2 linked regions of the Macaca mulatta genome follow. Each later gene encodes a partner of the first gene's protein in a complex. Links are inferred from orthologs where the notes say so. Each region holds a gene or a part of one and is shown on either strand. Other genes may lie near its edges. The genes, in order: CDHR5 and ANKS4B.

Region 1 (3,056 bases):
GCTGGAGCAGGTGTTGTGGTCAAGGATGCAGCTGCCCCCTCTCAGCCTCTGAGGGTCCAGGCTCGGGACCCGGAGTTCTCGGTAGGTAGCACACGCAAGGCTGATGCCTGCCGCCCCCACGGCAGCCTTCCTGTTGCCCAGGGTCCCTGGGTCCACCCGGCCTCCCCTCTGTGGGTGGGTCAGGGCTGCAGATGGGAGGCAGCCTGGCCGGGGACTCAATGAAACCCTGTCCAGGACCTCAACTCGGCCATCACGTATCGAATTACCAACCACTCACATTTCCGGATGGAGGGAGAGGTTGTGCTGACCACCACCACACTGACCCAGGCGGGGGCCTTCTACGCAGAGGTGAAGGGCAGGGCAGGTGGGCATCTCCAAGGGTGTGGGGCTTAAAGACGTGCCCAGGAGAGACAAGCCCCTTCCTGCCCTAGGTTGAGGCCAAAAATACAGTGACCTCTGGCACTGCGACCACAGTCATTGAGATACAAGTTTCCGAACAGGAGCCCCCCTCCACAGGTGAGCCCCCATCCCCAGAGACTGGAGGAACAACTGGGCCCTGGACCAGCACCACTTCCGAGGCCCCCAGACCCCCTGTGCCCTCCCAGGGACCCTCCACAACCAGCTCTGGGGGAGGCACAGGCCCTCATCCACCCTCTGGCACAACTCTGAGGCCACCAACCTCGTCCACACCCGGGAGGCCCCCCGGTGTGGGAACCAGCACCTCCCACCAACCAGCCACACCCGGTGGCGGCACAGCACAGACCCCAAAGCCAGGAACCTCTCAGCCGATGCCCCCCGGTGTGGGAACCAGCACGTCCCACCAACCAGCCACACCCGGTGGTGGCACAGCTCAGACCCCAGAGCCAGGAACCTCTCAGCCGATGCCCCCCGGTGTGGGAACCAGCACATCCCACCAACCAGCCACACCCGGTGGTGGCACAGCTCAGACCCCAGAGCCAGGAACCTCTCTGCCGATGCCCCCCAGCAGGAACACCCCATCCTCAGGTAGCACCCACTCCGTTGCCTTCCCTCCCTGGCTCAGATCACTGGGTGGTAGGGAAATGCTGTAGGAAGGGTCCACCCCAGGCTGACCTGGCCTGACTATGAAATCCCAGAGGGGTCTGTTTGGGACTGACAGACACAGACAGGCCAAAGGCCCTCAGTGAGGTGAACTGTGATGTGTGTAGGACAGAAGCCAGATTTGGGGTCCAACGAATCCCATGATTCCCACAGCTGCCGGCTCACCCTGCAGGCCCCTGCCCCTCCTGTGAGCAGCCTCTTTGTTGGGGGGGGGGAGCCCAGGGTCTCACTGGGACACACAGGCCCCTCCAGCCAGGGTCAGCAGAGCCTGAGATTTGGGAGACAGCCCAGGCCTGGGTGATTTCCAAGTGTCTCAAGCCTGGCACAGGTTGGCATGGGGAATGCCTGGGGTGCTCAACAGTGCGGGGGTGATGGCATTTTCCACAGCGATGCCAGGTGGCGGCCCCTCGGAGGACAAGCGCTTCTCAGTGGTGGACATGGCAGCCCTGGGTGGGGTGCTGGGTGCACTGCTGCTGCTGGCTCTCCTTGGCCTCACTGTCCTTGTCCACAAGCACTACGGCTCCCGGCTCAAGTGCTGCTCCGGCAAAGCTCCGGTGAGGCCCAGGGTGGAGGGCAGGGCAGGCGACCCGCAGGGAGTGGGGGACAGGAGAGGGGAGGGCAGAGGGGAATATGTGGAGGCGGAGGGGTGTCCACCGTGGAATGAGGGTGTGGAGAGGCCACAAGGCAGCAGAGACCCAGGGACCCCGCTGACGCCTTCACTCCTGCTAGCAGGAACCCCAGCCCTCAGGCTATGACAACCAGGCGTTCCTCCCTGACGACGAGGCCAACTGGGCGCCTGCCCCCAGCCCCACGAGCGACGCCAAGCCCGCGGAGGCACCGCCGACGCCCGCGGAGCCCGCGCCCCCTGGCCCCGCGCCCTCGGGCAGTGCCCCTGAGGCCCCGGCAGCGGCCGTAGCCGGGGGAAGCCCCGCAGCGGTGAGGTCCATCCTGACGAAGGAGCGGCGGCCGGAGGGCGGGTACAAGGCCGTGTGGTTCGGCGAGGACATCGGGGCGGAGGCAGACGTGGTCGTTCTCAACACGCCCACCCTGGACGTGGATGGCGCCAGCGACTCCGGCAGCGGCGACGAGGGCGAGGGCGCGGGGCCTGGCAGGGGTCCCCACGATGAGCCCGGCGGCGATGACTCGTACATCTAAGCGGCCCCTCCACCCTCTTCCCCGGCCGCGCGGGCGCTAGAGGTCCCGCTCCCCTAACCCCCGACCCAAGGCAGAATAAAGCAAGGCTCCCCAAACCCAGGCCGTGGCGTGGGGCGGGCGCGCGGGTCCGTGCGGGCCCCATTTGCTCGCGTCCCCCATCGTCCTCGGCGCTCGAGCCCGGGTGTGCAGACGGGGGTGGCGGGTCCCGCCGCGCTGTCCCCACCCGAAGGCTGCAACGCTTCCCGTAAACCACCTGCTGTGCCCGCCGTCTTCCCGAGGCTCCGCGCCAGCTGGCCCGCGAAGTTCCTCTCCTGCTCTCACCACAGCCGGAGAGGGCACTCCCCTCCCCCAGTCTGCACTGGGGATCTCAGGCACCCGCTCAACTCAGACCTACCACTCCCGACCCGACACAGAGATTGCCTGGGGAGGCTGAAGAGCCAACGCAAATCCCCAAGACGATGCGCTTGGAAGCCAGTGGTCTCAAACATCTGCCGGGCTGGGGGTCCTAGTCCCCTTCTGAAATCTACATGGTTGGGTTGGGGCGCAGCATTAAACACCCACCCAGAGGCCTGCACTGAGGCACGCGGGGGTCGGTGCGCGCGAGTGGCCTGAGCAGGAGCCGGACCAGGAGGCCTAGGGGTGAGAGACACCTCCCGGTCGCTTCTCCCAAGGCCAGAGCCCAGGCTGGCCACCCATGCCCAGAACCATCAAGGGGTCCCTTGTGGGTCGTCAGCACTGTCCCTGATGAAAAGACACTATTAATTCCTTTCCAAATGTTTTAATTGCGAGAGCGTCTGATATTCTTGTCTGAACAATCTAAA
Region 2 (3,568 bases), on another chromosome or scaffold:
TGTCGACCAGCTGCCCAGGCTGTTGTAGCACCTGCTTCCTCCTGTTTATAGCATTCAGAACTTTCTTCCTGGGACCCAGCTGCATTTGTATGCTCTGAAGGTCCTCATCAGAGCAGAGCAGCAGAGCTTCTAGATCAATCTGCTCTCTCTTAAAGATAGGCAGGAATTCTTCCAGGTGCTGAGACAGCAAGAACACTTCCAGGGGCGTGGCATCGACCACATCTTCCTCCCACTCCACTTCATCCTCACCCCATGGTAGATCATCTTTGAGGCTGTTTTCCTCTTCCTCTTCATCAGCTATACCCTCATCAGTCTCTGATGTTCCTTGTGTTTGAAACAATTCACTGGGCAGTTTAAAACCCAACTCCCTCTTGCTATCTGAGATGTCTTCAGGACTCAATATCCTGTTCCTTCTAAAAACAATACTTCCTAGACCTGGACGATTGAGAATGGATTCATGGCGCACACTGCTGTCCTCCTCTGCTGACAACTGGAGCTTCTCTTTGAAGTCCCCTGAGAATGAGTCTTCCTCTTCCTCTCTGAACACTTCCATCACGTTCCTCTGCCCACTTCTGCCTTCCTTCCCCACCTGTTCTGCTGTATTGTTGTTCTTTTTGAACTTGATCTTGAAAGTATCTTTAATGCCCTTAGATAGTGACCCGAATGTGCCAGGAGCAGAAGCATTTGAAGGGAATGACCTGGAGAAGGTACCCTTGGAAGAAGAGACAGTCCCAGACTCCTCCTTGCTGTAGGTGCGGGCCATCTTATTTTGGTGCTTCTCCTGGAGCCTCTCACACTCTTTGATCTGCCTCCTGGCATTCTTCTGAGCCTGCTCCTTCAGCCTGGTGACCTTCTTGGGGTTCATGATGTTCTGCGCAGTGGCAGCCTTGTCCAGGAGAGCAACACATTCATTCTGCTCCCTGCTGGCAGCAGCATCCAGCGGAGTCTGTAAGTCATTATCCAGGGCAAAGATGTTGGCACCAAAGTTGACCAGGAATGAGACGCAGTGGGCATGGCCATTGGAGGCTGCAAAATGTAGAGGAGTGTTTCCCCAGATGTCACACCTATCAGGGTCCCCTCTAGAAGAGAAAATACAAAAAAATAAATAAACATGTTGGGCATTTTTTTCTGAATTGGGCTCCAACAATTCAAAACAAAAATAAAGAACAAAAGGCATGTTAATGCAAACATGTTCATCCTGACTTGACATTGTTGTAAGATACTGGCTGCAAGTCCAGCTATCTTAGAACCGTCCCATCTTAAAACCACATGGCCAGAAACAGAGTCCATCTCTAACCTGTGTCTCCTTTTTGTTTGTTTCTTTTGTTTTGTTTTGAGACAGGTTCTCACTCTATCTCCCAGGCTGGAGTGGAGTGGTGTGATCACAGCTTATTGGCAGCCTTGACTTCCCAGGCTCAGTTTATTCTCCCCACTCAGCCTCCCGAATAGCTGAGACTACAGGCATGTACCATCACACCTGGCTAATTTTTTGTAGAGACAGGGTTTCACCATGTTGCCAGGTTAGTTGCAAACTCCTGGACTCAAGCCATCTGCTCACCTTGGCGTCCCAAAGTGTTGGGATCACAGGTGTAAGCCACCACACCCGGCTGTGTCTCCTTTTTAGAAGCAAGAAAAACTTTCTAAGAAATTCGCCAGCCAAACAACTTTCTTGTCTCATTGGCCAGCACTGGGTCACATGCCTAAGAGATGTGAAACATAGTACTGTGTTTAACTTAGATCAATTGGATTTTGCCCTGAAACTAGGCATAGGATTGTTCAATGGCTCCTCAAGAAAATAATAAAATCAAAATCCTAATTTGTAGCATGTGCCAATTTCTGTGGTGTAAATACATCCACCATGGCAGATTTCAAGCTACCAATGTGACATCACTAGACACAGAGTTTGGAAGAGATCCACAGTAGCATACCATTATCAACCATTTCCACCAGGTAGATATAATGGACATGAATTACCTTAAGAGATAGGTAAGAGTGAAAGGTATTAAAATAAGTAGAAAGTGAGACTTTTGTGTAACCTTGTTAATATAATTTGTTAAATTAAAGGTTAAACTTTTTTTTTTTTTTTTGAGACGAAGTCTTGCTCTGTCGCCCAGGCTGGGGTACAGTGGTGCGATCTTGGCTCACTGCCTCCCAGGTTCAAGCAATTCTCCTGCCTCAGCTTCCCGAGTAGCTGGGACTACAGGCACCCGCCACAGCACCCAGCTAATTTTTGTATTTTTAGTAGAGACGGGTTTCACCATGTTGGTCAGGCTGGTCTTAAATCCTGATCTCAGGTGATCCACCCGCCTCAGCCTGCCAAAGTACTGGGAGTACAACTGTGAGCCACCACACCCAGCCTGTTATTTTATTTTTAAGAATGGCTATGTTCTCAGAAGCTCAGGCTTATAGTAACCTATGATTGAACCACTGTACTACAGCCTGGGCAACACAGCAATACCCTGTCTTAAAAAAAAAAAAAAAGGCTAGGCTCAGTGGCTCATGCCTGTAATCCCAGCACTGGGAGGATGAGGTGGGAGATTTGCTTGAGGCTGGGCATTCAAGACCAGCTCGGGAAACACAGCAAGACCTGTCTCCATTAAATATTTTTTTAAATAAAAATAATAAAAAGTAAAAAAGAATGGCTATGTTTAACTGCCAAACTTTCTAAAATTTAGAAATAACTGCCAACAAGCTGGTTCCAGCATGCTACTGCTACCCTCCCGAATTGAGTCACATGTGGAGAAATAAATAACTGAACCAAACTCAGTCCCCATCAGCAGAAAAGAAGAAAGAAATGGATGTTGGGGAGGTAGCAAACAGTCCCTGTTATAAACATTTATTCATTAAAAGGGCATTACATCTCTATTTATTTCTCCACTTACTTCCATATGACTATAGGTTCATATAAGTGTGTCATTCTACAAAAGTTTAAGGAGGAATTGAAGATACTATTAGATGGTATTAAGGCCAGAAACCCAATGCCTGGCACAGAACAGGGACATAGTAGGTGCTCCAGTATTTGCGGAATGAATGAAAACCTATTGGAATCCTGCTCAAGGCAGCAAACCGTCCTCTCCTACGAGGACTTGAGTGACAAACAGGAACAGATGAAAAGTCGAGTAACTTTTTTTTAATGATGTCCAGAGCCATGCACCACTGCTGAGAACCCTAATACATATACTAAGGGGTCCTTCCTTTGCCCTAGTCTAGACTCCAAAATCAGGATCTCACTAAACTCTGGCCAGCCTGGCCCCATGGAAAGAGGACAGTGAGTCTGAGAAGTCCTCTTAACATTCCCAGGAGGTAGAAGGCAGAAGCAGAAGAGAAGATCTGCACCCTTGAAAATGACCTGTTAGTGCGCCATGACCCTTCTACTAGTTCCTGGCTGCTCAAAGTTTGGTCTCCAGACCAGAAGCATCACCTGTGAGTTTGTTAGAAGTTCAGAAGACTCTCACGCCTGAAATCCCAGCACTTTGGGAGGTCGAGGCGGGTGGATCACGAGGTCAGGAGTTCAAGATCAGCCTGGCCAACATTGTGAAACCCTGTCTCTATTAAAAATACAAAAATT

What was found.
Region 2: CDHR5 (region 1) and ANKS4B share a complex: the UniProt entries of both Homo sapiens proteins name them as parts of the IMAC/intermicrovillar adhesion complex. The link is inferred for Macaca mulatta from reciprocal best matches to the Homo sapiens genes CDHR5 and ANKS4B.

The regions. Positions count from the first base shown.
Region 1 is NC_133419.1:511,363-514,418, reverse strand, and holds the end of CDHR5 (cadherin-related family member 5), read left to right. Parts: coding exon 1-81; intron 82-234; coding exon 235-348; intron 349-431; coding exon 432-1,005; intron 1,006-1,467; coding exon 1,468-1,634; intron 1,635-1,809; coding exon 1,810-2,235; 3' UTR 2,236-2,330; downstream 2,331-3,056. UniProt on the Homo sapiens protein: Intermicrovillar adhesion molecule that forms, via its extracellular domain, calcium-dependent heterophilic complexes with CDHR2 on adjacent microvilli. Thereby, controls the packing of microvilli at the apical membrane of epithelial cells.
Region 2 is NC_133425.1:21,170,773-21,174,340, reverse strand, and holds part of ANKS4B (ankyrin repeat and SAM domain-containing protein 4B), read right to left. Parts: intron 1,080-3,568; coding exon 1-1,079. UniProt on the Homo sapiens protein: As part of the intermicrovillar adhesion complex/IMAC plays a role in epithelial brush border differentiation, controlling microvilli organization and length. Plays a role in assembly of the complex.